Linked DNA regions of Elephas maximus indicus. The protein of the gene in region 1 purifies or fractionates together with the protein of each later gene. This does not show direct contact. Links are inferred from orthologs where the notes say so. Each region holds a gene or a part of one and is shown in the gene's direction. Other genes may lie near its edges. The genes, in order: RSU1 and ILK.

Evidence for each region.
Region 2: the proteins of RSU1 (region 1) and ILK purify together in Homo sapiens (affinity purification with mass spectrometry; 9 studies listed by BioGRID and IntAct, counting the BioPlex papers as one, with this or other methods). This does not show direct contact. The link is inferred for Elephas maximus indicus from reciprocal best matches to the Homo sapiens genes RSU1 and ILK.

What each region holds. Positions count from the first base shown.
Region 1 is NC_064822.1:40,081,101-40,096,750, forward strand, and holds the start of RSU1 (ras suppressor protein 1), read left to right. Parts: upstream 1-7,211; 5' UTR 7,212-7,388; intron 7,389-7,625; 5' UTR 7,626-7,628; coding exon 7,629-7,737; intron 7,738-15,650. UniProt on the Homo sapiens protein: Potentially plays a role in the Ras signal transduction pathway. Capable of suppressing v-Ras transformation in vitro.
Region 2 is NC_064825.1:60,257,036-60,271,719, forward strand, and holds the start of ILK (integrin-linked protein kinase), read left to right. Parts: upstream 1-8,832; 5' UTR 8,833-8,924; intron 8,925-9,305; 5' UTR 9,306-9,397; coding exon 9,398-9,486; intron 9,487-12,584; coding exon 12,585-12,750; intron 12,751-12,924; coding exon 12,925-13,020; intron 13,021-13,201; coding exon 13,202-13,298; intron 13,299-13,405; coding exon 13,406-13,489; intron 13,490-13,592; coding exon 13,593-13,678; intron 13,679-13,824; coding exon 13,825-13,934; intron 13,935-14,042; coding exon 14,043-14,170; intron 14,171-14,257; coding exon 14,258-14,379; intron 14,380-14,475; coding exon 14,476-14,575; intron 14,576-14,682; coding exon 14,683-14,684. Other genes in the region: RRP8 (ribosomal RNA-processing protein 8), read right to left, coding at 4,953-5,072, 5,296-5,392, 5,475-5,581, 5,772-5,901, 5,995-6,448, 6,868-7,234, 8,508-8,606. UniProt on the Homo sapiens protein: Scaffold protein which mediates protein-protein interactions during a range of cellular events including focal adhesion assembly, cell adhesion and cell migration.

The sequences.
Region 1 (15,650 bases):
GACCCTAGGTACCCTTCACTCAGCTCTCCTAAATTTTCCACAATTTTTTCTGAATTATTTCCTGAGGGTAAATTTCCAGGAAAGGTGAAAGGTATTTTTACACGTGTCCTACATTGCTAAATTGTTTGCCAATAGGATTAGAAAATGTTACACATCCATCAATGATCAAAAATCCTTGCCTCTTTTGGGAAAGTCTTCAGGTGAAAGTCCCAAGTCATCGTAACCAGATCATTCGTTTCTGGGAAAATTCCTAAGCATGCTCCAAATTTCGTAAAACCCTCAAGAATAAGTTTTAAATGGTATTTCATCCAGGCTGAGGAGAAATTCTGACAATCTACCATGTTTGAAAAAGCAAATTCCCAGAGAAATAATGTTTTAAGCAGGATCATGTTCCAGGCCGTATCAGGCTCTGCATATTTCTACCCAGGTTAAACATAGAGCACAGAGCAGTTATCATAGAGAATTATATTCATTATCAAGTATACAGAATAAACAGGACTATAGAATAAAGAATTGCATATGTCAAACCATCTGTGAGTAATGAAAGAACGTTCTAAGTCATAGGGTATGTTGAAATTGTTTATACAAATATGACAAAACTGTGTATATGTATTTACCTTCAAGTATATAATGTTTCCATAAGCACTACCATTGTCAATACCTAATTTAACAACGCAAAATGTGAAGTTATATATAGTTAATACAGGCTGCTATTTAATAAGAAGTAGAAAGTTCGGTACTCTGTATTTGTCTCCTAGTTTGCCAGAAATGGACCAATAAGGAACATCATGATAAACAGAGAAAATATTGAAGTTGTCAAGGATTTCATTTTACTTGGGTCCACAATCAATACCCATAGAAGCAGCAGACAAGAAATCAAATGACATATTGCTTTGGGCAAATCTGCTGCAAAAGACCTCTTTAAAGTACTGAAAAGCAAAGACATCACTTTGAGGACTAGGGTGAGCCTGACCCAAGCCATGGTATTTTGAGTCATCTCATATGCAAAAAAAAAAAAAAAAAAAAAAATTTTCATATGCATGCAAAAGCTGGACAATGAATAAGGAAGACCAAAGAAAAACTGATACCTTTAAATTAAGGTGTTGGGGAAGAATATTGAATATAACATGGACTGCCAGAAGAACGAACAAAGTTGCTTTGAAAGAAGTACAGCTTGAGTGCTCCTTGGAAGTTCGAATGGTGAAATTTCATCTCATGTACTTTGGACGTGTTATCAGGAGGGACCAGCCCCTGGAGAAGTACATCATGTTTGGTAAAATAGAGGGTCAGCGAAAACGAAGAAGACCCTCAATAAGATGGATTGACACAGTGACCGTGACAATGGGCTTAACATAGCAATGACTGTGAGGATGGCACAGGACCAGTCAGTGTTTCCTTCTGTTGTACATAGGGTCGCTATGAGTAGGAACTGACTGGATGGCTAATAACTAACAAGGTTGCTAGACACATAACTAAGGGAGGTAGTTGTTAGCTTCCTCTCCCAGAAGAAAACCCAACTTCTTTAATCAAGTTTTCCACTGCCTCTAATTAAGTCAAAAGCTTCACAAAAGAGATTTTCTTTATGTTAAATATGCAAGGTTAAGTCTTATTAAGAACATGAGACCGGGTGAATAAATGAAGCTAGGGAATGTGCTACTTCATCTTACTAATACTCAAATGTCAGAGAAATTATTTCTGCTCAGAGTACAGAGCCACATAAATTAAGTATTCTCACCTTAAAACTCCTGCTACTTTTAACTACGTATTATGGATAGATGTATCAATTTCATGGATGGCACTCTTAGAAAGAAAAGTGAATTCAATGAATAACACGATCAAACCTAAGGGGTCTTGACAAGCTGGAACAATGGACTAAATCTAACAAGGTGAAGTTTGACAGGACTAGATGTAAGATCTTGCTCTTTTATCAAAAATAAGTTACAAGGTACAGACATGGAGAAAGTTTAACAATAACATACCAAATTATATAGGAATTTTATCTGAAAGCAAGCATAACATGATGTAGCTGTCAAAAAATAGAAGATGATTTGATCTCAGGTTGCAGTACTGGAGTGATGGTATCTACAAGAGTCATTTTCAGTCAGAAAAATATGAATTAGACTAGGCATATAGACATTTCCTTAGGAAGCGTATTAGAATATCCCGGACATGTGTATAGACAGTTAAAGAAAGCATAATCAATATTATTGTATAATTTTTTCAAATGTTAAACATAAAAAAAAAATAAAGCTCTACAAAATATTTCAGTCTAGTGATCCAGAAAATATGGTGATTTTTAGAAGGCTGGGGTGGACATCCCGGGAAAATGACACTTTTATATGCAGCAAAAAGGGAAGTGGATTTAATAAGTCTGTGAGTAATTCATCTGGAAATTTTTTTAAATGCAATTACTGTCAGTTTAGTAAGAACTTAGAAATTACACAGCATCGAAAAAATATATTGTTAATGGTGAAAATTTTCTACTTATTCAGACCACAAGTCATCCATGACTACCAATTTAATAAGAAAGTTATTGGAAGAAAAATGATGTAAAAAGTGTTAGATGGTTTATGGAATTTTTTTTTAAATTAAATTTGATAACTTGTATTTTCGCATTACTTGGTAAGTAGTTTTATTATAATTTAGAGAAGAACTTAGGGGTATATTTCATAAAAAATTGTACCGGTAAAAGGGAAAAGGAGAAGAGGATTATAAAGGAGTGAAAACAAATTTGTGGAAGACAGGAAGTGAATGTTGGCAAATGGAACAGGAAGAAAAAAACCACAGTCTCAATTAATTTCAAGAGAGAAATGGACCAGAGCAGGAAATCGCTTTTCCAGATATTGCCTGACTACGAGGTTGGCAGGTGCAACGTGCAATGAGAAGGGAGATCACAAGTAATGGAACTTCATGAATTGGCAACCACAATCCTTCCATCAGTGAAAGCAGCCTTGTGATTACCTGTAGGCCAAAAACTTGGTTCTCACTTCCTTAGAAATTCAACAAATAGCTTAGGGAAAATTAATGACCTAGGCTAAATAAGTAGAAACAACAAGGGAAGAATGAAAACCCATGTGCTATCTAGAATAATCAACTCATATCTTCATGTTTGGATATGAAAGGACAACTAAGAATCCTCAGATAGGAAGGCTCTCACAGCATGAATGGGAAAGAACCAGGTAAATATACATAAGAATGGGCCTTTGAGGAAACGGTTGATTTGGCTAACAGAAGAGAGGTTTTAAAAACTATTTTCCTCAGAGATACTTGAGAAGAGAGTTGTGCTCATAAAACAAAAGCAGGGTGCAACTAAAGAGAAACAATCTTGGAACAACAAAGCGCTCTTAGAAAGTACTTTTTCTTGATAGTTAATTATTTTAAATTATTTTTAAAAATTTAATAGAAGGATTGGAAGATAGTCAAGAAAATTTCTCACAAGCTAAGCAAAAAATTAAGAAATGAAAAAATATGAGGAAAAAAATAGATACAGAAAATTGTCCAGATGCCTACCATCTGAGTAACTCCAGAAAGAGAAAATGGCAAGAAAGAAATTTCAAAGGAATAATAGAAAACAATTTCCCAAAGAGGAAGAGAGCAATGAGCCTTCAACTGGAAAAGACCTAAAAATAAATAAACAAATAAAAGGGGAGGAAGGCCCCCCCCAAAAAAAAAACAGTTGCCTGAGTTGACTCTGGCTCGTGGCAACCCCTGTGTGTCAGACTAGAACTGTGTTACATAAGGCTATCAATGACTGATTTTTCAGAAGTAGACTGCCAGGCCTTTTTCCTGAGGTGCCTCTGGGTGGATGCGAACCTCTAACCTTTTGATTAGCAGTGAATGTATTAACCATTTGTACCACTCAGGGACTCCATGAGTGCTAAGCAGTTTAAATAAACAGGTTCCCAACCAGAGTGAAATCATGAAATTTCAGAATAAGGTATATAATAAAAAGATCATAAATATTTCTCAAGGGAAAACAACAGTTTCCTACAAAGACTTGAGAATCAGACCGACAACCTTTCAGAGTCAGTACTGGATACAGAAGACATTGGAGCTATGCCTTCAAGTTTGAAGAGAAACTGATTTTGAACCCAGAATAATAACATGTGAGACAAATGATCAAAGGTGTGAACAAAATAATAAGCATATTTTCAAACCTGCAAAGGCTCAAACGTTGTGCCTCTTAAACACTCTTTTAGAAAAAGTTACTTGAGTGATAATCCAGCAAAATGTACAGAAGAAATGGCTATTGCCACCCGGGAACCAAGTGAAAAACAAAAACCACAGACAAACTGCTCAGCTGGAGGCATAGAAAGAAGCAGTCAAAGTTAGAGCAGTAAGTACGTAATTAAGCGGGATCCTAAATTCAAGAAGTATCTACTGGATTTCACTCAATGCACAGAATAAACAAGAAGCTGCAACATCTTAGTAATAAGGTGAAGATAACCAAAAGAAGAAAAAGGAAATAAAAGCAATTAGAAACTCCAGTAAAAATAACAATAAAATAACTGTATAAGGAAACCACGATCCAAAACAAAGCAAACTAAAATATGGCATACTTTTAGTGCATTATAAAAAGAGAGAAGTAATTTATTTGACCTGGGTATTTATGAGTCGGAATCGACTCGACGGCACTGGGCTGGGTTGGGTATGTTCTCCTTCAAGTGACACAGAGGTCATACTATTGGACTTAAAGAGAAGAAAGAACACATCATAAAATTTTGGCACACTATCTGACTCTTCAATAAATAGGATTAAAATAGCCAAAATAATGCAAGTGCTTTAATTTATTATTTTTCTATTTTTGAAATTAATGTTTAAAAAAGACATGGACAACTTACATATGTTTACAGAATAGAAAGAAAATATCATAAAAAATATAAAAACTAACAATTTTATCTGAGACAATTTGGTAAAATATGGGGGGAAATAGAGTTGGCGGGGTACTAACGTCTTCAACCTACGTAGTCACGGTTCACGATCAGAAGCTGATGGAACAAGAAACAGAAATCATAAGTATATTGGTTAAAGTTAATAATAATAATATTTTACTGGGTTATCTAACTATAAAAACTAGATGTGGGAAATACTGAAGTGAAGCAAATTCAAATTTCTGCTTTTAAAAAAGATGATGATTCAATAAATGGAGGTATCTATAGGATACAAAATAATATAGATGAAATTATGAAGTTAGAAAATCACGATTGAACGCCAAAACTCCTGAGTAAAAGCTTGATGAGGAATCGAATATTTACATAAACCCCATGTATCATCCCAGCCACTATTTATTATTTATAAAGAAAAAAGTACTACCTTCATAGTGAAGAAATCTGGCAGACACCATCTTAACCAAGTGATCAAAGCTATCACCACCAGAAATGGGAGAAATTTGTGTCACCTGCCTTTTGACGTGATGTAGTGGGAAGTAGGGTCTCTGTGAGTTGGAATCGACTTGGTGGCACTGGTTTTTTTTTGGGTTTTAATGGAAAGAAACTACTTTGGTGGTATTTCTCCAAAAAGTCATAATCTGAATCTAATCACCAGGAAACATCAGACAAATTCATATTGAAGGTCATTCAACAAAATAGTTGACCTGTCCAAAAACCAAACCCAGGGCCGTCCAGTCGATTCCGGCTCATAGCGACCCTATAGGAAAGAGTAGAACTGCCTCATAGGGTTTCCAAGGAGCACCTGGTGGATTCGCACTGCAGACCTTTTGATTAGCAGCTGTAGCTCTTAAGCACTGTGCCACCAGGGTTTCCGGTTGACCTGTACATTTTAATAACATCTAGTTCATGAAACATAAGACTGAGAAACTGTTCCAGATTAAAGAAGATTTAAACAAGCATGATCCTCTCATTGGGAATATTTTCTAAACCAGAAATTTCTGCTTTCAATTTTAAAGGTACAGCTCCTTCTCCTACCCCACTGGTTGAGAGCATTATTACCCATATCTTTTAAGGCTTTGATACTTGTTACAATGTACAATATGTTAACACATATATCTATCCATCTATCTGGTTCAGAGAAATGCCTGGTATCAACTTTTATTCCATAGTATGAAATTGTCTCTGAGGAGACTGTTTTGGGGGGAGAAGCATAGAATATTACGGGGTAATTGGGACTGGGTTTGAAAATAGGGAGGCAGAGGCCGGCAGTGAGGTCAGAATTCCAAATTTCCTTGCCTTTTTAAGGGGAAGTGGGAGATCCCTGAGAGCCATAATTTCATGTTTCACAGGTGCAAAAAAAGCAACTATGACTTTTTAATGGTTGCGTTTTACTTGTATCTTTTACTTGTATCTGCGGGTGGTAACAATTGCTCAAGACCAAAAGGGTCAGGTGCAAAAACCAGGTGTAGATCGCCACAAGATTTCAAAAAACACCGTTGCAAGCTGGGCGCTGAGGATTCTTGGCTTGGAGTTCTTGCCCTTGTTGTTGTTAGCTGCCCTCTGGTCTGCTGTCGACCTTATGTATAACAGAATGAAATGTTGCCCAGAACTGTGCCATCTTTTTGATGAGTGAACGTTTCTGAGTTGATTCTTGTGACCACCATCAATTCACCACACGGAGGGTTTCCCTTGTTTTTTGCTGGCCCTCTATTTACCAAACATGATGTCATTTTCTAGCAATTAGTCTTTCTTGATGACCTGTCCAAAGTAAACAAGTCGAAGTTCCACCATCTTCACTTCTAAGGAACATTCTGATTGTATTTCTTCTAAAACTGTTTTGTTCATCTTTTGGCAGTCCACGGTATATTCAAAATTTTTTGCATATAGCTGTAGGCTGGATGTCCTGACAAGGGCTATTAAAGGTGCAACTGCAAAGAAGAGACTCGGTAGCAACTTCAGCCGAGTAGGGTTTCATTTACAGAGGCAGGACACTGAGAGGTAATTGACTTCTAGCTTCTCCGGCAGCTACAACTCTCAAGCAATTTCAAACTTTCTCTCTTTTCCCAGAGCACTCTCGGCTTCTACCAGCACACTGAGCCTGCGACAACACTAGTGCGCATGCGCCAACTCCGGACCAATCGGAATCCCAAACCGGAGTGACTCCAAGGGGATGGGCTAACCTCAGGTGGGGCGGAGTCCCAAAGCCGAAAAATGGACTTGATTGGACGGCCTCGGGGGACACATTCCATTAGGGGCGGAGCCCCGCCTTGGAGCCACGTCTCAGAACCTGTTCTCCTAATTTGGGAAGGGTCGGGCGCTGGCGGGGCGTGGAGCGAAGAGCTGCCCCGTGTGCGCTTGCGCCAAGCGCTAGGGACAGGGCGTGTTCCTGGTTCGGGTTGCAAGTTTTGCCCTGAGCGAGCGCATCTCTTGCCACCCGAGTGTGTATCGCGGAAGCCTGTGGTCCCAACCTTCCCATCCTGTTTGGTGCTACCGTTCGCGGTGAGTGTGGTATTGCACTTGGGTTTGCTTCTCTGCTGCGGGACCGGAATGGTGCCGAACCCTTCACATTCCCGTGCCCCACCTGACCCATCCCCCTCCCTGCACCCGGGTCTGCCCTCTGATGCCCACTTTCCAGGCTGGGGAAGACTGAGGGGTGGCTGCCGGAGGGTCTTTCCTTTCTGTCCCCGCACCCTCCTGGCCGTCGCCCACGTGCTTTGTTGTTGTCGTTTGGTACAGACCATGTCTAAGTCTTTGAAAAAGTTGGTGGAGGAGAGCCGGGAGAAGAACCAGCCGGAAGTGGACATGAGTGACCGAGGGATCTCCAACATGCTGGATGTCAACGGCTTGTGTAAGTGCTCGGGCAGGACCTTCCCTTTGGATGAAGCTGGAAGGGGTTATAAACTTTCCGAGTAACTGCTAGTCCTCCAATGAGAGGTTGTAATGGTTTAGATCCCACCCCTTGCTGGTAAATATCATTTCTCCGGCGCTCAGCTCAGAAAGTTTGAAGTCAAAATTTGTTCTGTTCCAACTGGAAAATAAAGCTGAGAATCCAGGGTGAGAATCGTACTGTTGACTGCTGTGCCTCGTCAGTTGTCTATGCTGGTTTGTGGCATTTTGGTGTATTATCCGTCCAATTCGCTTGATAGCCTCTTTATTTTTTAGTCAAATCATTTTTTAAACCATTTTTCTTTTTTTCTAATATAGTTTTCAGTCCTTGAACAAATGTCTGACAAAAGTTATATGATTAATAAGCATTCTTGTACCTGGAGTATTTTAAAATTTCTTGACTCATTATCTTTTTCTGGATCTTTGTTCTCCTAATGACGTAGTTCAGACTTTTGCCATCTGCTCGTGTTATTGTGATGTCTAAATCCCCTTGTAGTTTAGAGACTGTTGCTTCCAGTGTTATTGTCCTATTGTATGTTACTCCCTACCTTTAAACCAGTGATTGCAAATTCATATGCCTCCAGGGGCCAGGTGAGGATGGTCCTGAACTCCATAATAGTATCCCATCTGAAGGGCGCAGCTGCTGTGCCTGCTACTTAGTTCCAAACAGTTGTCTCCACGTGAGGACATTGGCCAGTGTTGCCAGATCTTTTTTGTTTTTCTTAAGAAGTCAAGAATCCAGATTTTTATATGAAATTTCCTAGTTTTTAAATGTTGGCAACTAATTCCAGTACTTGAAAAACACTTTGTAGGTGAAATAAAACGTATTGAGGCTTTGTGACCCCAGTTTGTACCTTCTCCTCTGAACACATCTTCTGGTTGTCGTCCATCACTGACAGTAATGTTCCAAGTTCCTTGGCATGAAATACAAGACCTTTCTGAATCTGACTGCAGCCCACCTTAAATCCTTATCCTTTCCATGCATTTTACATTCTTTTTTGAACGTATTTCTCTTCCAGAGCCAGAGCACATTCTTTGAGATCTTGGCGCCTTTACAAGTATTATCCCTCTCTGTACTCTTCTTCGCCAAAAATCTTTTTACTTGTCTGTCAAGAGTAAGCTCAGACATCACAATGTATGGGAAGCCTTCTCTGTCTGTATCAAGCCAAGATAGTCATTCCTTCCTCTGTGAAGTTGGACATGCATTGCTTGTGCATGTATATATATGTATATATACACACATATATGTATGTATATATGCGCAAACTGTGGAATATTCGCATTTATGTTCTTTATAGTAATGCCTGGAAAACAGTAGGTGCTCACAAATGTTTGATGGATGAAGCAAAGATTGATGGATCAGGCTGGCAAGTTTATGAGCCAGACCAGGGTGTGACAACAGAGAAGGGGAGGTATCCAAGAGACCTTTTAGACGGTGGCTTGCTTATTGCACATGCAGACAGCAAAGTCAGGTTTTCTGACTCCGTGGCTTGTGTCTAGGGTGGAGATTGGGGTTGGAGCTATTGATTGTTCTTGTTGTTCTTCGGTGTTGTCAAGTTGGATCCAATTCAAAGCAACCCCATGTGACAGAGTAGAACTGCCCCGTAGGGTTTTCTAGGCTGTAATCTTCATGGGAGCAGATCACTGAGCACTTGGAGCTATTGATACTTACTGACAAAAGGAAAGGAGAAGAAAAGTTGTAGACAACTTGCATTTGGTAACTGTGATGAAGATACCTGCTGTGAAACTTAGGTTTTATACTAGGTAGCATCTCAGACTTTTGATATATGCTGGCCTCTCAGTGGTGATAGACTCTTGGTGTCAGCAACAGAACAGATGTCTCTGGTACTGAACTGGCTGTAGAGGATCTAGATGTGCTTCCATGTAGCCCCTGCCCAGATCTACTGCCATCCTGATTATTACTGGGGGCACTGTTGCTATAGAGGAAGAAGAGGATGAGCTGAAAGGAGGCCCAGCACAGCTGTACTCCTGGTTCCAAGGTGTTCGGCCCTTTAGCACCCTTTTTCCCGTAAGGTTGGAGGAAGAAGTTGCTTTTAGCAAAGGAGCTTTATTCCCCTCAGCTGTTGAAAAGAGACTTTATGTAATATTTGTAAGTAGGGCAAGTGGCATAACTGTTTTGGTTCAGCTTTATTATCTCTTTGAAGCCTTGAGTTTTATTAAAGACAGTAAGATAGCCACTTGCTTCCTGGAAAAAAAAAAAAAAAAGTTTCCAGTGTAACATTGGACGATGAAAAGCAAAATCATCCTTAAGTAGCTAAGGAAGAGCCACAAGTGCTTTTTGGAAGGTTTGTTGTTGTCATTGTTAGGTACCATAGAGTCTTTTTCAACTTATAGCAATCTTGTGTGACAGAGTAGAACTGCCCCATAGGTTTTTCTAGGCTGTAATCTTTACAGGAGCAGATCTCAGGGTCTTTCTCTTACGGATCCATTGGGTGGGTTTGGACTTCAACCTTTGTTAGCAGCTGGGTGCTTAACCATTGCTCCACCAGGTCTCTTTCTGAGAGGTTCAGTAGAAGTGAACTTGGAGATTCCACTTCTTCCTGCCTCCATAGTGTAGTCATAAGGAGTGGTACCTCTCCCCCCGACTTGCTGACCTTGGGTCACCTGAGAACCCAGGGGTTCCAGAACACTCTTCAGAAGCTCATTCCTCCACTGAGGCTCATTTAAATAGTGCACGTAATGGTTAGTCTGTAGATGTAAAAGAAAGTCACTACTTACAGCATGAATCTGCCCCTGCAACACCTGGCTATTGGGGCTGATGTATATTGGCAAAGTGATGAAGTATAATGCTTAAAAAAGCCCATTGCCATCGAGTTGATCTTGACTCATAACAACCCTATAGGACACAGTAGAACTGCCCCACAGGGTTTCTAAGGCTGTAAACCTTTACAGAAGTAGACTGCCACATCTTTCTCCTGTGGAGTGGCTGGTGTGTTCGAACTGCCAACCTTTTGGTTAGCAGCTGAGCACTTAACACTGCTCTGCCAGGACTCCTTCATGAAGTATAAATGTATTAAAATATTTGACATGCTCCCGTTACCTGTAGTATAGGAAGACCCGTACTTCTTCAACTGTAAAATTTTAATGGTAGCCATGACGTTTGATACATTGTTATGAAGATTGAACACAGGGAACAATTAAAGTGTACAGAGAATGGTTATTTCTTGTGTCTTAAGCTTCCCCTCATCATCCTTCCTTTGTTTACATTCTCTAAAAATAAGCAAGAATTACGTTTCGAAGGTAAGCATGAAGGCTTTGAACTTGTTCTAAGCATGCAGAATATCCATCTTTCTGTTGACAGAGTTTCGGGTTGTAAATGTCAGCGTTTTACTTCCTCCGAGACCATAAATTGCCTTCTAAAAATGTTTTCAGTAGTTTTGGTACCAAAAGCTTTCTGATGGGGAAATGTCTTAGGCTCAAGGCAGACATCAGACAGGTTCTACGTTTGTTTTTCATTTTTACAGCTTTTACAGTTGTACAGTTTTTAACCAGTCCAGTCAGATTCTAGATATAGTCAGATTCTACCGTGAGAGGCAGAAGTATACAGTATTGGCATTGGGTAAACTAGGTTCAAACCCTCTATCTGCTATTTACAAGTAGGTAACCTTGCAGAAACTACTTAACCTTTGAGAGCCTTGAATTCTTCATCAGCAAATGGGAACATTAGTACTGACTTCCTAGGACTGGTTCAGTGTTACTGCAGTAAACATCAAGTGCTTAGTGCTATGTCTGGTATCAAGTGAGTGCACATGAAATGTTAACAATTAATATCCAGGTGGAGGCCAGCAAGTGGCAGATGTAATCAGTTCCAGCATATTTCTGTGGCCTGAACCAAGAGTTTAGTTTGGTCCATTAGACTAGGTCGGGTATTTGTGTCATATATTGATGGGTCCTAGGTAGCCTATTAGAACCTGGAGGGTTTAGCACTTTTGCTTAGGATACTTATAGATTTAGATTGCTGTTTCTTTGAAATCCAGCCTAATTTTATTCCTTTTCTGTCTTTTTTTCTAAATGCCATTATAATCTGCACACACACTTTCCTTAGAGCTTCCAAGAGTAATGGTACCAATTGTGTTCTTTTTATTAAAGAAGTCACTGCAGAAACTCTCCAGCAAGCAGCAACTGTCTTCATCTGGATGATAAAGCTGCCTTTGAAGGGCCCGTAATCAGCCTTCACTGGGGCAAGGAATCCCTTGGTAGCCAGGCGGAGTTGCTTTCATTTCTTTTATTTAAGTCTTTTGTGACTTTTTAATCTCTTTGAGTTTATTGCCCTCTGGGTGGCCAAGCCTTTATCAGGTTTTTTCCAGGTTAGACTAAAATGTCTTTCAGAGAACTCTTTAGAAAGAAGAATGGCCTCCTACCACAGGAGTGGTCTTTCCAAAGGACCATACACAGTAATCAACAACATAATCACTGACTTATCTGCAAGGGCTATTTCAGGAGCCCTGTTAGGAACATATTTTATCAGTATAGGCTGTCTTTGGGGGAAAGGGAAAAGGGCTGAGAAGATCATATGATTTTAGTGATAACTTTTATTAAAAACCTTTTTTTTTTCCCTCAACCCCGATAAATTCTGTGAATATCTCCAACTTTGTGCTTTTAAACAGGTAGTGTCTTGTTCTGGGAAATTCTTTTTCTGCTTGTCTCTCCAGCTAACTTCCACTTGTCAACTTAATGCTTGTTGAAGGAATAAATGACTTAGCAATCCATGTGACTCCATTCTTGTGTCAGCTCCTCTGGGAAGCTCTCACTATATACTAAGTTTTACCCTATTGTCCCATCCACACTGGCTGAAGTGGCCCTTCTCTGTTCACTCTGCCTTCCTCTATTAGCCCTGACCCTGGAAGAATGCTCAGGAAAAGTATATTGAAGGAAGGAATGTTACTGCATTTGGTTAAAAATTTCATATTTCCTAGGTGATGCACAAATAGTTAAGCACTGGACTACTAACAGAGATGTTGGTGGTTCACACCTACCCAGCACTGCCTCGGGGAATAGGCCTGGCGATTTGCTTTCAAAAGTCACAGCCTTGAAAACTCCATAGAGCAGTTCTGCTTTGCATACAAAGTCACCATGAGTTGGAATCTACTCCACAGTGACAAACAATAACAACAAAGAATTTTAGGTTAGAAATAGATAAAGAGTAGAAAGGATAGCGCAGAGAAGGAACATGTACTCTGCCTCCCTTCCACATCCCTCTCCCCAGCTTTTCAGAGGGAGATAGTTTATAACCATTGGAAACACGATAGAACTGTCAGACATTCTGTTTTTTACTTTAGGACATAAATTACATCAAGATAGGAAATAAAAACAAAATATGACCCCTTGAGTGTAGCAGAACCAGTAATGATATTTTACTATTTTTAATCATTTGACATTTTGGCTCCGGTGAGTTGTGGCATCTTTTTTGTAAACAGCTTTTTTTTTTTGGTTATTAGCTGTGTGACTTAAACCTCTCTGTGCCTCAGTTTCCTCATCAGTAATGGGGAGATAAGAGTGCCTACCTCATAGAGTCGTTGTGAGTCAGTTTCTCTAAAGTGCCTAGTATGCCACCTGGAACATATTAGTCTTCCGAGGCGTCCTAGTGATTAAGAGCTACGGCTGCTAATCAAAAGGTCAGCAGTTCACATCTACCAGGTGCTCCTTGGAAACTCTATGGGGGCAGTTCTACTCTGTCTTATAGGGTCACTATGAGTCAAAATTGATTCAACGGCAATGGGTTTTTTTTTTTTTTTTAATTGTTTAAAAAATGCAAGCAAAAAAACAAAAAACCCCATTGCTATCTAGTCGATTCCAACTCGTAATGGCTGGTAGATTTGAACTGCCGACCTTTTGGTTAGCAGCCGGGCTCTTAACCACTGCACCACAAGTCTTTATTACTTGGAACTCTCAGTGATGGTACTTCCCCAGTGGCCTTTACCTTCTGGTCTCCCTCTTTCATCATGTCAGCTTATCCACTGCCTCATTCCTTACCTGATTCAGAATTCCTGGGAGAAGGTGGGAGGGTCTGCCCAGTGTGCCAGGGTCAGGAGGGACAGTGGCCTCACACTCCAGAGAGTTCAGACTATGGACAGTGGGGGAGGGTGAGCAGGGCGCTGCTTTTATTTGTGTTGTGATTGTGACAATATGCATTAAAAACTTGGTAATTTTCCATCTAATAATTAGATTCATTATACATCACTCAGTACCTATTTATTGAATGCATTTTTTAAAATGATAGGACACTATTTAAGCAGAGTCTCTGTAGAAGTTTTCTCCATATTGAACCTTCAGATCATACAGTGATAACTATTTGCTGTCTTAGGAAAACTGTGAGGTATTTATTGCATCTGAAATTACATATTCACCATAAGAACCCATAAGACCTGCTGCTTTGAAAGCTGTTATAAAACAAACCAAACCCACAGTCATCGTGTCAGTTCTAACTCAGAGTGACCCTACAGGACAGAGTAGAACTACTCCATAGGGTTTCCAAGGCTGTAAATCTTTATGGAAGCAGACTGCCACATCTTTCTCCTTCGTTGCGGCTAGTGGCTTCAAACCACTGACCCTTTGACCCTTTACTGCATCACCAGGACTCCTTGAAAGCCGTTATAGCTAGCTCTTAATTGTGATAATCAGTAGTAGAAATTGCACAGATAACTGAAAATCATGCCCTGTATCCTGTTGTCGTAAATGTCCATGAACCTGGTTTTAAGAAAGCCCAATCTAGGTATGTGAACGGCCACTGTTACAAAGCAAAAACTAGTGATTATTTCTTTCTGTCACATAAAATCTCATTGTTTCTTTAAATATCAAGTTTGCTCAATTGTTTTAATTTTTATTTTTTTTTTAGGTAAAAGCTTATAAAAATGTGACTGAGGAATGGTTTATGTAGATCAAGAGCCTGACCAGTAGGGGTCAGTATTGAGCCTCTGCATTTGGCCCCACTATCACGGAATTGACTCGACGGCAGTGGGTTTTTTTGATCACCCACTGCTGCAAGAGCAGTTGCTTCCTTTCTGTCCCCTCATGCTGCTTTCTTCTATATACTCTTTCATAGTATTTCATTTATGAAGCTCACAGTAAAATAAACCTCACCTGTTATTGTTAATTGCCATCAAGTGGGCTCCAACTCATGGTAATCCCATGTACAATAAACAAAAACATTGCCCATTCCTGTGCCATCTACATGATCATTGATATGCTTGAGTCCATTGTTGCAGCCACTTTGTGAATTTTGAGTATCTTCCAACCGAGGAGTCTCATCTTCAGCACTATATCAGACAATATTCTGTTGCGATCCATAGGGTTTTCATGGGCTAATTTTCAGAAGTAGATCATCAGGCCTTCATTTCTAGTCTTAATCTGGAAATTCTGCTGAAGTCTGTCCACCATGGGTGACCCTGTTGGTATTTGAAATACTAGTAGCGTAGTATCCAGCATCACAGCAACTCGTAAGCCATCACAGCACGACAAACTGACAGAGCGGTGGTGGACCTCCCTAATGGTGTAGTAAATCTGATCCCAAGCGTCGTTACTATGATGTGTTTTGCAGCTGCCTTGGGGCTTCCGTGAATGGGAAGAGGCTGATCAGTCATATGTCTCCAAACAAAAGTTGGGAGTGAAAAGGATTTGCGATGTCAACATGTGTTTACATATTGGGCAGATTTCATCAGTGCGTGATAATTAATAATGTAGAAGAGTACTTTGGATTTGAGGTGTTAGTAAAGCCAAAAAGGCCAGTGATAGTATAACGTGATCTGCGGTAGGGGTTCTACATGATACATGCTTGAGCGCGAACGCTGCAGTAATCGCTCCTCGCTCTTGGTATATCACCCTTGGTGCAGATGATAATTGTCATCATTATACAGA
Region 2 (14,684 bases), on another chromosome or scaffold:
ACTGTTATTTCTTAAAAAAAAAAAAAAAACTAGTTTTTTTTTTTTTTTTTTCTTAAGGAGCTATATATTGTCCTTTCTTCAGTCTAGGTTCTCAACATTAGACACTGAAAGTTAGACATGGACTTAAACAAGAGTTTGTCCTGAAGCTACTGATGGAGTAGGGAGGACCTGGATCAGGGTGACTGGCGGGGGCCCCTAGTGGGGGCTAGACTGAGATAAGGGGAGTCTGGGGCCTGAGTCAGATCCAGAGAGATGTTGACTCAGGTGGCCTGAGCCATAAGAGGCAAACGGAAAATCCAAATTGTGAGTGAGGGAAGAAAGCAAAAGAGGGAGGAAAGCAGCTGTCCTGCTGGGCACAATAAGAAAACTGGGAAAATTAATCAAGATCTGGGAATATAAATAACATTTGGTAAAGAACACAAATATGGAACTATAGAAGGTGAGGTGAGTCCTACAGTGAGATACCCTGCTACTCTAACACATCCCCTGAACTTTGGCTTGCCTCCCCCTCCTGTCCCATGGAGCTGCCACAACAGTCAGCCCTCACTGGGGAATCCTGACAGGCTGGGAGGGACTGTCAGGGCATTTTATTCTGGTTGCCTGGCAGTCAGCTCCACACACCAGTCTCACATCACTCCCAAAGTGAGTCTCTCTAGCAGGCCATGTGTCTTGGATATCTAGTGCCGCTATAATAGAAATACCACAAATGGATGGCTTTAACAAAGAGTTTATTCTCTCTCAGTGCAGTAGGCTACAAGTCCCAATTCAGGGTGCTGGCTCCAGGGGAAGGCTTTCTCTCTCTGTGGGCTCTGGAGGAACGTCCTTGTGATACATCAGTCTTCCCTTAGTCTGAGAGCACCTCACCGCAGGAACCTCTTGGTGGTATGAGGTGCCCATGTCTCTTTGCTCGCTTCTCTCTTTTATATCTCAGAAGAGATTGGCTCAAGACACTACCTAATCTTGTAGATCTCATCAATATAACTACCACTAATCCATCTCATTACATCATAGTGATAGGACTTATAACACGTAGGGAAATCACATCAGATGACAAAATGGCATACGATCATATAATACTGGGAATCACGACCTAGCCAAGTTGAGAGATATTTTGGCGGGGGCACGATTCAATCCATGACACTGTAAACCCTCTGCTTTCTTGAAATCCATGCCATGCAGCCTCTCCTTCCCTTTGTCTACAGATCCCCTGGCCCCTCCCTCAAGACACTGGCACCTGTTCTACTGCCAACTCCTGCCATCATCCTGGAGAACATCAAAGTCTATGCAGACAACCCCTCCCCCCAATACCTGACCCCTCAGCCATCTTTCATGCCTCTCAGTCACTCACTCTCATGGCCACACCGCAGACTTCGCCATCACCTGGAGTTGATCTCCTTCCAAAATCAGTAATTCAAGCGTTCCAATTTCTAACCACAGCCTCCTATCCTCCCAGGTCATTTGTTCAATTACTCCCAGTGCAACAACATACTCCTGTCTTCGCTTTCCTACCTGTTCTACAAAATGCCATGGTCCACCAGAACAGTTACTTTCTTGCTAGCTAATGGTCTGAAACTCCTTTACTCTTCTCTTTCATCCCAACTCTGGATGATCCCTTCCTCAGGTACACTTAGATTCCTGAGAAGGTAGAGAAAACCACACCAATGAGCTGATTAGTACTATAAATCACAAACAATACTGCTATGAATTTAAGCAGACCCTCAACATTGCTCAGCAATCCTCACTGCACTGCAATCTGACTTCTCCCTCAACTTAACCTTTCAGCAGCATCTGAAGGCTGATAACCTCCCCATTTTTCCAATGTAAAAATATCCTCCTCTATCTCTGGCCCCACCTTCTAATCTTCCTTCCCTTTTACAGGTTCATTTTCCATCCATTAAATGCTCCTCAGAGTTCTATTCTCAGCCAATATGTCTTCTCATTATCTTACCCTGGATATCTCATCTACTTCTATGACTTTAATTACCACCATTAGGTTGCCAAATCCCAAATCCCTACCACAGATCTCTCCTGGGATTTGTATGTCCTTCTTACCAAATGAGTATCTACAAAGGCATCTAAATTCCAACGCTTTTAATGGCACCACCAGCCCATCTAATTGCTTAAACCAGAAACCTGGAACTTAGTTCAGACTTCCTTTTCTCACCCACCTCCAACCTCCCACCAGTTCTGGCTCTTAACCTACTCCTGTCAGCCCACTTCTTCCACTGCCACTAGTCCACAGTGCCCTCATTTTGTGCCCTGGGTTCCTGCAACACCTCTGCTTCCATCAATCCCACTCAACTAGACCCTGTCATTCCTTACCGCCCCCCTTAGGTGAACAAGTGCATAAGCTCTGGGAACACAATAAATACAGCTTGAGAAGCTCACGGTCTAATGCACAAAGCAATCACAACCCGGTATTTAAATACTGAAGGTACACTCTTCACACAGTGCTTTGAGAGCTCATTTGAAGAAATTAATGCTTTGGAAATGAGTGTGTAGGAAACAATTAGGCTGTTTTGAAGGGTGAGCAAAACTTTACCATTCAGAAAATACAGGTGACCCTCATTATTCATGAAGTTCATATTTGTGAAATTGTTGTTGTGTGCTGCTGTCACGTTTGACTCATAGTGACTCTACAGGACTACAGGACACAGTACAACTGCTCCCAGAGGTTTTCCTAGGCTGAAATCTTTATAGGAGCAGATCACCAGGTATTTTCTCCTGCAGAGCGGCTAGTGGATTCAAACTGCCGACCTTTAGGTTAGCAGCTGAGTGCTTTACCATGTGCCACCAGGGTTCCTTAATTTGCCCACTTGCTAAAATTTATTTTTAATCCCTGAATCAGTACTCATGGTACTTTCAAGGTCATTCAGACATGCACAGAATGATAAAAAATTTGAGTTTCCCGACGCACAAGTTTTCAGCTGAGGTCGGACAAGGTGACACTCTGCCTTCTTATTTCAGTTCTCATAATGTAAACAATTACATCCTTTTGTGATCTATTTAGTGCCATGTTTTTTGCATTTTTGTGCTTTTTGTTGGTGGTTTCGCTCCTTAAAATGGCCCCTAAGTGCAGTGAAGTGCTGGCTCGTGTTCCTAAGCACAAGAAGGCTATGATGTGCCTTACGGAGAAAATATGTGTTTTAGGTGAACTTTGTTCAGGCATGAGTTACAGTGCTGTTGGCCGTGAGTTCAATGTTAATGAATCAACAATACATATTTAAATTAGGTATCTTGCGGTTTTTTCAACAGAAACACATATAAAACCAGGTTATGTTTCATGTAACAAAAATGTTGTGACTAGAGGCTTGCAGGAACCTAACCCCTGTATCTCCCCTAGGAGCAATGGTTCAGTATTCAATAATTCGGTGTTCACAGTGACTTTACAGAACATAACTATTGTGAATAACGAGAACTGGCTGTATTTCAGCAAGTAGCACATGCAAAGGCACTGTGCACTGTCTGTCGCATGATTCCCAGCCTAGCCCCCAGGCATGCCTCTGGCCTACAGTCTGTCCCCAAAACTGTCCCTTTACTGGAGGCATATGCTGGCTCAGAGTCCTGAAAACTATGTCTTCCCAGTAGCCACTCTCAGTTCTTGTTTTTGGAGCCAGGTAAGAAGAGGCTGCATTTTTACCCAAGCCCATGGCAGATGTGTTCTGAGGGAAGCCTGGGATATATTATCCAATTATCTTACCCCTAAGCACTAGCCTTCCTTGCTGAAAGCTTTCCCAGGATGTGCTACCCTGGGAAGAAATGGACAGACCCTTTCGCCAATGAATAGCCTAATCCCCCCACCCCAAAATTGCATCACCCAGTAATTTATGAACAGAGACTCAGTTCCCTCATAATCCACTTCCAGGGACGGCTCAGAAACCATCGAGAATTTCTAAAGAGTTTATGAAATCAGCCTGTTGAAGAGCTGTCCCAGAACCTTCCTCAGCCAACAAATCCATTTTTTACCCCTCAATCTCCATTCCTGACTAGGGAAAGGTCTTCAGAGAACAAAGCTCACAAGACATGATATCCATAGTTACAGTTTATTGAGCACCTCCTATGTTCCCAGCCCAGGCTATAGATTTCCTCACCTAGCCCATACAACAACCCCATAAAACAGTAGTCCTCACCATTTTCCAAATGAGGAATCTGACATTCAGAGATTAAATGACTCCCAGCTCTAAGCGGCAGGCTTGGATTCAAACCCAGGTCTACCTGACTCTGTAATCTGTGCTCAGCCACACACACACGAGAGCCCCACAGGAAAATAGGTGCTGGGAGTGGTTTAATCTATATGGCTCCCAAGTTGGAGATGACAGAAGCAGAGAGAGATGAACCACTAGACATGTACAGTGCAGGGAACATCTAATCAATCTTGGCCCACCTCACAGCTGTGGAGACAGCTTGCCTCTACCTGGAAGCCAAGATTGATGTGTTCAGCCAGGATATTGGTGGGCTACCAGGTGCCCCAGAGACAAGAAGCAACACCTGTCACAGCCTTGAAGGCCTGGGCAGACCAAAGCTGAAAGAACAGCAGCTGTGAGTGAGCAGAGGCGCTGGTCTGCAGAGAGAAGATCTGAAGAGAGGAGTGGAGACAGCAAGAAAAAGTCCATGTGGCCCCTGAGATGGAAAAAGAAAACTAAACCCAGAGATGCCCTGAATTCCAAACCATGTAGTTTCCATGACGCCTAAAGGGATCCATGATTCCTGGACATCCCTGTAGTCTCGGGATAAACCCCTTAGTCTTTAGCTAGTCTGAGTGACTTCATGCTTCTTGCAACCGAGGAAGCCTCCATTAGATCAGGGGCCGAGCCAGGGCCTTCATCACATTTTGTTCTTTGGATGGGGCAGGGTGACATCAGGTCCTAGCTCACAGCCTGGCTGGCTACAGTTTTCAGGGCTCTGAGCCAGGAGTTTGAACCCTGCCTCCCCTTTCAAGGGAGGTCCAGCAGTCACCTGCGCTTGTAGAGACATGGCTGAAGCTTTAGGCCTGAGAGTTCAGCCTTTGGCCCCACCAGAGGGGGTCCAGTCTTCTGGAAGTCGAACAAGAAGAAGTGGCTGTTGGTCAGGTCCTAGGGGCAGAAAAGATCCAGTAAGTTCTAAATCCTCATCCTAGCTGCTCAAAATACCTCCTTCCATCTCCCACCCCTGTTCAGAAAGCTTCCCAGGGCTACCCCATGAGTTGTGCCTTCAGAGAGCAAATGTCTGTTCTTGTGCTTATGGCCTCCTTCCTGTACACCACTCCCCTGGAAAGGGCTGCACATAAAACAAAAATAGACTTTCTAGGGCACTTACCTTGGAGATGACCTTGAAGCCCAACTTGGTCACAGCCCCTAGAAAGGCCCGAACATCTTGAAAGCGGCTGCTGACCTCAGCCACTTTCAGAAGACCCCTGAGAGGGATGGAGAGTTCTGTGTAAATGCAGACACGCGCATGCACACACATATATGCATCTGTGTCCACAGGGTTCCTACCCTGGCTTCAGCACTCGATTTGCCTCCTCCAGGAAGTCCCTGATGTTAGTTCCCATCAGTGACAGGCAGAACACAGCCACGTCCACAGACTCATCCTCCAGGGGCACCTGTGGAGAGAGACTGCTGTATGAAGCATGCAGCTGGGCAAATGGGGGCAGGCACACAGTGTGGGGAGGAGGAGAAAGCCAGCACTGGGTGCTAGGGTTGGGCACCTGGGCGGGGGGTTAGGAGGAGGAGGGCTTTAAAGAGATGAGCACATGGACCTAGAGCACAGTCCAAATACACAGATGAGTTTACCTGGGCCATGTCACACACAGTGACCCTGGGGTCCAGAGAGGCCAAGTCAAAGCAATGCACAGGGTTCCGGATACTCGAAGCCAAGCGACAGTCCCCACAGCCGAAGTCAGCCACCACCAGAGACGCAGGCCTGGGAACGGAAGGGAAGGGTCGCTCACTGGCCTGGTCAGAGCCCATGATAACTGACCCATTATCACTTCTTACAGTGCCCACCCCCATTCACCTCTGGCGAAGATCCCTGATGATGCGGTCCACAGGCTGCAGGGGCCACTTATTGACTTGGCTCTGGAAGCCACGGTGGTAGATGAGAAAGGCCTCTGGGTCTTCCTGGAAGAGGCGCTGTGCAGCACTGCTGGGCCCTGAGTATAGCTGTTCGTTGAGGTAGCGAAATCGGGCGCCATCCAGCCTCTGTACCATGCGGGCTCGCAGAGCTCCCGCCCGAGCCTCGTAGCCGTCTGGCCTGGGAGGAGGAGGCACCTCTGCCTCCTCTGTGGGAGCCAGGGCCAGAGCCTGGGTTGGCGGTTGAGGTGGCCGAAACTTGTTCTTGTGTCTCCGCTTATTCTTCTGTCGGTTCCGCCACTGCTTACGGCTCAAGGTATGGGGTAACTGAGGGGAAGCAGACCCAGGGCTTGGCTTGTGTGGGTCATCTGCAGCACTACCCTTCTGGACTTTGGAACCTGCAGGTAGGGCAATGGGAAGGTGTATTTGAGGCAAGATCCTCTGCAAGCAGACACTTGGCAAGTCACATTGGCCATATGCCTGTCTTTTTTTTTTTAATGTGGTGAAAGTATACACAACAAAACACTCACCAATTCAACAGTTTCTTCATGTACAATCCAGCAACACTGATTACATTCTTCGTGTTGTACAACCATTGTCACTATCCTTTCCTGAATTATTGCACCACAATTAACATAAACTCAATATCCCCTGATATGCCTGCCCTTGAGACAGAGACTGTGGCCTGGATGAAAGTACTTCTTATTGGCTAACCCCAGTCCTAATGGTGACAGGTAGCCTCTGTCACACGTAGGATCAGCTGATCTTCCCTGCCCTCCCCTGCCCCCCATATATATATGTACATATCCAAGAGTACCTGTTTGGTCAACACTATCCAGGTGCTGGGCTCTGCTTGAAGGAGCCTGTTTCTGGCATTTCCTCTTTCTTTTCTCCTCTTCAACAGACTCACTGCCAAGAAGAGCCCGTTTGCAGCTTTTCTTCTTTCTTTCCACTTCCTCATCCTCAGAGTCACTCCCAGACCTGGCCTGTTTTTGATGTTTGTTCTTCCTTTTCTCCTTTACTTCAGCAGAGGCACTAGCAAACAAGGCCTTTTTGGGGCGTTTCTTCTTCCTTTCTATCTCCTCCTCTTCAGAGTCACTTTCAGGTAGGCTGGGGGGTTGCTGGGGAAGAGATGCAGCCTCCAGGGCCCGTAAGGTGGCCAAGAGCTTGCGGTGCTTGGAGCCCTTGGGGTAAGCAAGGTATGAGAGTGGGGTGAGGAGGATAGATGAGTTCTGGAGTGTAAGAAGGGAGAGGTGGGAGCCTGATTCAGGCACTGGCAGAGATATCTGGATTCTTCCCAGTCAGCTAAGTTGGGAAGCCTGCAAGACCCTGAAGAATGTTCATTTCCTAGTCCCAAACCTTGGGAGGTGGAGAGTGGAGAAACCACCCACTCCTCCTTCTTCAATGTGCAGATGAGGCAATGGAAATTCCCTAGATGAATGTGCTCAGGCCACAAGCAACAGGGCCCAAGGCCAGAGACCAGGAGTTCCAACTCTCAATTTCAGGCTTTTGTCCCCAGCTGATGATACCACTCTATAATAAGTAGGGAGCCACAGGTTTCTGAGCACAAGAGTGACAGGATCAGATGTGCGCATTAAAGATGCCTCTAACTGCAGTGTCAAGAGAAAACCTACAAAGAGACCAGTGAGAAGGTTGTTCCAAGTGTACAGGCAAGAGAACAGTGATCTGGATTGTGGCAATGAGCTGAGGAGATGAAAAGGGAATAAGCAGATGTCAGTCATGCAGATTTCATATTAGAAGCACACTGAAGCGTACAGGAAGTAAGAGGGTGAGAAAGTACAGCAGCCGGCACATATGTAGAGGCTCAAAGGTGGAGGCCTTAGTGGGGGAGGCTGATTCTGGGTTGAAGTCCTGCTGGGTGGTCCTAGACCAGGCACTTACCTTGGAGGTTCTTAGTTCCCACCCATACCCCCTTTAATCATAATACTCATAGCCCTATGTCACAAACTCTTGCTCTCTCCAACCCATTCTCCACACACTGTAACCAGTGATGTTTTCAAAATGCAAATCTGAACAAATCGCTCCCCTGTTACAAATACTTCATTGGCTTCTCTCTGCACTTAAAATATACAAAACTTCCACCTCTCCAACTTAAACATCATCCCCTCTCACTTACTCTCTGTGCTCCAACCACACGGATCATTTTGGTGGGCCCTAACAGGTCATAAGCTCTTGCCCCACGACCTCTGCACGTGCTCCCCCCTCTCCCCCCCCCCCGGTCTAAGGAACCCTTTTTGCTTAAATTTCTATTCATCACTTAGCTCAAATATCATTTTCTCTTAAATGTTTTCGGATCTTCAATCAGAACTCGCCTCAAACGGTGCCGCTGGGCCCACCTACCCACCCAATACACACTTGGTGTGCCCCTGGCGCTGGGATTTCCCTAATGCTTTGGCGCCCCAAAACAGGTCCCAGTGCCCCTGCGTGGCCACTCACCTTGATACGCACGGCTGCCGCGGGCCGGGGCCCTGCGGCGACGGGCCCGAAGGCCGTGGCTGCTAGGGCCTCCTCGGTCCACTCGGGCTCCTCGAACATGAGGGCCAGGAGGGCAGAGTCGCGGTGCCCGGCGTCCCTCCACGTGCGATAGCGTCTCCCGGAGTCAAAGTGCCTACACCAGCCGGGCAGAAGCTGGGAACCAAAGAGTGAAAGCCAGGGGCAGCTAGAGCGGCCGGCGCAGCGCCGAAAACCATCGAGTTTCCACACTAGCGAGCTAGAAGGGCAAGGGAGGGGCGGGAAGGGAGGGAGGGAGGGAGGCCCGCGCCGGCCCGCTAAGGCCAGGGGCGGGGCGGGGCCGGGTGGCGGGCGCGGCCGGACGGGAGTTCCCCGGAGAAGGCGCCTCGAGCCCGAGTCCCGGTGAGTGCGGGGCTACCCGCGCCCCTCCCCAACACTCAGGCCCACCAGCCCGTGACCCCTCACTCCGTCTGAATTCCCGGGAGGGAATGGGGTCCATACGCGGGGATCCCCTCCTACCGGGTGTACGGTGCCCGGACCTCCCCACTCCTGCCCCCGCCCCCAGCTCTGTTCGCGGGTGGTGTCTCCGTGCCTGCCCTCCGATATCCCTTCGGCAGACACCAGCGCCTATCTCCTTCCCCTCCCGGACTTGCCTTTCCCTCATGCCCAGTGGACACAGTCGGGGATCATCCCATTGCACTAAATTCCCATTCCTGACCCCCTACAAGCCGGGGACGCAGCGCCCAGACGCCCGCCCCCAACAGAAACACTTCTGTCTTGTAGAGGACAAAGGTTGGGGCTCACCCCTCTCCCCTGGGTCACGCTGTAGTCCCCAGGCTTACCCGATCTAGGGCACTCAGCGCCGGGACGCTGCTATGGACGACATTTTCACTCAGTGCCGTGAAGGCAACGCGGTTGCGGTGCGCCTGTGGCTGGACAACACGGAGAACGACCTCAACCAGGGGTGAGCTCAGGCGGCTGGTGGGGAGAGGATGGCCAGAGTCTTACCCTTCTCCCCGACGTGGGGTGCTCATGTCTGGCGGAGGTGGCCAACTTTTCCATCCAGTGTGATGAGTGTTAAGCACAGCTGTGGAGGGCAGAGGGTCTCCACGGAAGAAGCAGTGTTCGAACAACTGAATGAGTTTCACAGCCAGAGGCCGCAGAGAGCATTCCAGCCTCAGTGAACTACATGGGCGAAGGCAGGGAGGCAAGACACAAAGCTGAGAGTTACAAGAAATTTTCTGGAGTTCCATATGGCTGGAGGATAGAATACTGTTTCTGTGGGCTGCAGCGTTGGATACAAGAGGAGAATGATAGGAGATAAGTCTGGAGAGGACTGCAGGGGTTAGCCAGATCGTGTTAAGATATTTAGGGCATAATAAGGTCTTTAAGAGCAAACCCTTAAAGCTGTGTAGTAATATGATGAGATTGCCCATTTGTTAAGTATCATCTTGGATGCTTTATGAAGCACAGGCAAGAATGCGTATCAGGAAGCTATTCCAGAAGTGACAATGGGTTGGACTAGAATGGGGGCGCCTGACAGAAGTGATCTGATTCCAAAAATCTTTAGGGTGAGGAATTGGTGGTGCTTGCTGTGGGAAGTGAGGAAGGTCATAGGTGATAACCAGGGTTCTGGCTTGGACACTTAGTAGATGGTGGTTCCTTTTACTGAGATGGAGAAGACTGAAGGAAGATGATGAGTACCATTTTGCATGTGTTAAGGTGACAAAACAGTAGGTTATTGGTTATGCAGATTTTGTGTTCAGGAGAGATCAGAGTTGGAGGCACAGATTTGGTAGATATTAGCGTATAGATAATAACTGAAGATGTGTGTGAAGGAAAGAGCCTTGGAAGAGTGGAAGACAAGACGGCAGGGGATGAGACGCCTGCAAGGAGACGGAAAAGGAGCAACCAGAGATTGAAGGAGAAAAAGAAAAGTGTGTTAGTAAAGCTCAGAGAATGTTTCAATGAAAGCGGAGTGGTCAACAGTAGTGCAGTGTGACAATAATATAGGCAGCTTTAAAATAACTTTACCTGTTGAATTTGCAATTAGGATATATTTGATGATTTTGGTGAGAGCCATTTCAGAGAAAAAATAAAGTGGACTATATTGGGTTCATTCATTTAAGGAAACGTACTGAACATTTCCTGTGCTGGGCTCGGGAAACCCAGAGTCAGATCCCTTGATCCCTGCCCTCAAGGTGGCCAACCTGTGGCAGGTTAAAAAATGAATGGGAGGTGTGGAAATAAAGTGAATGTAAATGTAAACAAGTTCTTTAAAACTGGCTGAGATGGCAGTAGTGATGGCGATTCACAGTGGGGATTATAATTTATTTTTTAAAGTTGGGGGAGTGTAATGTTAAGATTTGAAAGGTAAGGATCACCAGTCATCTTAGTTTAAGCTTCACTGGTTCCCATTAGACTTTATACAATTTCTCCCTCATAATTTGCAGAGTACACTTGTTCCATTTTTCATATTTCTCAGAGGGTGCTTGATAAAAACAGTAAGCACCATTCCTACTTTCTTGAACAAACAGAGGCTTAGGCATCTAGGAGGACTCTTCTGCCAAAAGGTACAGTGGCATTAGGGAAACTAGAAGGCTTTGGTGCTGGTTTCAGGGGACAGGGTCTGGGGGCCCAAGCTGGATATATGCTGGGTATGAGGGGGTGGAGGGACAATTTCCTGCAGGCATCTCTGGGATAGGAAATCCAGAGCCTGAGGTGACGGGCAACTGGACATTGGGGAGAGCCTTTGTGCCCATACTTTTGCCCTCAGGCTGGTCTGCCCTGGGGCCACAGACTGCTGCAGGCTGATAAGTCAGGGCACAAATTAAGGAACTGAGAGGCAAGACTGATAAGCAGGAGGTTGCAATTGCTTCCGGTGGATACCCACCTCCCAGGAAAACTTTTGGCTAGCTGTGTTAGCAGATGAAGGCAAGCTGTAGGAGATCTGTAAATTAGAGGCGGCAGTCCCCACCCCCATCAGCTGCTTGTGTGTCAGGGTGGCTAGACCCCTGACAAGCTCCAGGCCCCGCCTAGAGCCCCCGATGGGAAGTGACTGAAACACTAAGGCATCTGGAGGCTGCTAGCCCAGACCTTGGCCCGCCCCCTGCCCCGCCCCTTGGGTTTGCAGCCTGGGACTGGAGGGAATTTCCTTTTATGGCCCCAGCCTGTCAGGCAGGCCCAGCTCCCACCCAATTGCTTTGTTTTTTGTATACTTCTTTTCCTTTGTAAAATACATGCCCTTAAGGGAAAAAAAAAAAAAAAAAAGTCAGGTATAGTTTTCCTTCCAAAGCAGCTGTTCTCATTTTCTTCTGTTTTTTATTATACCCAGGATTGCTGAGTAGGGGAATCCCTGTTTTATGTGCTGGTTTGTTATCTGCCTCATCAGTAATAACTTATCAAAACCATTTCTCCTTCTCATGGTAAACCCTTCCAAAATGTCATTTTAATTCCATTCCACTTTTAGGTTTTAATTTCAGTACCAGAACCAAAAAGTAAGTTTGGCTCCCTCTCCCATGAGTTGTGGTTTTCCTTCTCCAAAACACCCTGCCACCCTCTCCCCACACTGGCACGAGCTGACACCTGTGTCATTCAGCCCAAGAAGCTTACAGTCTAATGGACAAGACAGCCAAGTAACAAGATTCTTACAGTCCAGTATAACAAGTGCTATAGTAGGGGGATATACGAGATGCAGTAGAAAGCAGGACCAACAGACATTGCAAAAATGGTTTAGGGGAAACCAGATGAAGGGTGCTACCATCTAATGAGATAGGGCGTACGAGCGAAAAAACGATAGATGGTTGGGGGTGGCGTGAAAATAATGAATCATATTATGGACTTGAGTTTAAGCTGCCCCTATGTGCCCCTTGGTTGGGTCTGAAGCTCAGGGCAAGATCTCAACTGGACAGACTTGGGAGTTGTTGGCATGAATGAGAATTGAAGTCCCAGAGAGGTAAGGTTTCCCATGGAGAGTATGAAGAGTGACTATCAGTTTCTCCTGTATCGAAGCCTCTGCCCCATCCCGCCTCCAGATCACTGACCATTACCACTTCCTCAAAGGGATGACCATGGCTTCTCCCCTTTGCACTGGGCCTGCCGAGAGGGCCGCTCTGCTGTGGTTGAGATGCTGATCATGCGGGGGGCACGGATCAATGTGATGAATCGTGGCGATGACACCCCACTGCATCTGGCAGCCAGTCATGGACACCGTGATATTGTACAGAAGGTATGTATGAACCCCTCCATCACCCATGCTGCCTCCATACCTTGCAGTCAAACACAAGCACTATAACATAAATAGAAGTATGCGTGCTCTTCTTTCCCCCTCATACCCCAACACCCATCTCTCATTTGGGATTGACTGTGCCTTCTGCCTCTTCTGTCTGGCCATGGGGCGCAGCTGTTGCAGTACAAGGCTGACATCAATGCAGTGAATGAGCATGGGAATGTACCCCTGCACTATGCCTGCTTTTGGGGCCAAGACCAGGTAGCAGAGGTAAGGACTTGGGCCCCAAGCCCTGTGATGGGTGGGAAGCAAAGTCTGAGCCTGAGGGAGAGATCCTGGAATACTCAACCCATCCTGAGTGTTTGACACTTACAGGGTGTGTACTGTATCTGTGAGTTACTACATCTGTGAGGTAGCAGGGGCTCTCATCACAACCACCTTCTCATTCCAGGACCTGGTAGCTAATGGAGCCCTTGTCAGCATCTGTAACAAGTATGGAGAGATGCCTGTAGACAAAGCCAAGGCACCCCTGAGAGAGCTTCTCCGAGGTGCATCCCCTACCTTCCTCCCACTTGTATCTTCTTGTCTTGTCCCTCCCCACCTGTCTCCTCCCTCCATTACCACATCTCAGGCCAAGACTGTCTTTCTTCCCCAGAGCGGGCAGAGAAGATGGGTCAGAATCTCAACCGAATTCCATACAAGGACACATTCTGGAAGGGGACCACCCGCACTCGGCCCCGTGAGTCACTGTTGTAGAAGGAGGGGGTGGCAACAGGGAATAATCCTGGGCTCCTGGAGCAGGTTATCAGGAAGTTGGGGACCTGACCTTTCCACACTCTCAGGAAATGGGACCCTGAACAAACACTCTGGCATTGACTTCAAACAGCTCAACTTCCTGGCGAAGCTCAACGAGAATCACTCCGGAGAGGTGACCCCTCCCCTTTGTGTCCCTCCCTCCCCAAACCCTCACAGATTACCTGCTGTGCACCTGCTTTAAGCTTCTCCTTCTCCAGTTAGTGGGCAAGGAAAGCAGTGGCCCTCATTGAACCCTCCTGACTCCCACTTGTCCCTTAGCTATGGAAGGGCCGCTGGCAGGGCAATGACATTGTCGTGAAGATGCTGAAGGTTCGAGACTGGAGTACAAGGAAGAGCAGGGACTTCAATGAGGAGTGTCCCCGGCTCAGGTGGGGCAAGACCTGATAGAGAAGTTGCTGGTTCCAAGGAGCCCTTAATAGCACTGAGAGGGAGATCTTTTTGGCTGGGTCTCAGCCATGGACACTCTCTCCTCCCAGGATTTTCTCACATCCAAATGTGCTGCCGGTGCTAGGGGCTTGCCAATCTCCACCTGCTCCTCACCCTACCCTCATCACACACTGGATGCCATATGGATCCCTCTACAACGTACTACACGAAGGCACCAGTGAGTAGGGATGTGGGTGCCCTTGGTTGAGGTGGGGTAGGGTGGAGCACCAACTTCTCTAAACTGTTTAACTCCTGTCTCTTGTAGACTTCGTTGTGGACCAGAGCCAGGCTGTGAAGTTTGCATTGGACATGGCAAGGGGCATGGCCTTCCTACACACATTAGAGCCCCTCATCCCACGACATGCACTCAATAGCCGTAGTGTAATGGTAAGGTCACAAGTCCACTCCTGGCCCAGGCCCCCAGAGGCCCTTCACCTATCTAGACTAGGACTCACCTCCTTCCACATATCATCTCTTCCTCAGATTGATGAGGACATGACTGCCCGAATAAGCATGGCCGACGTCAAGTTCTCCTTCCAGTGCCCTGGGCGCATGTATGCACCTGCCTGGGTGGCCCCTGAAGGTGGGTGAGGGCCTCATATTGGGAGGTAGAGAAGAGTCACCTCAGTATTGGTGGAAGGGGGCAGAGACAGGACAGGCAGTTGGAACAGACAAGTCCTGTTCCTCCAGCT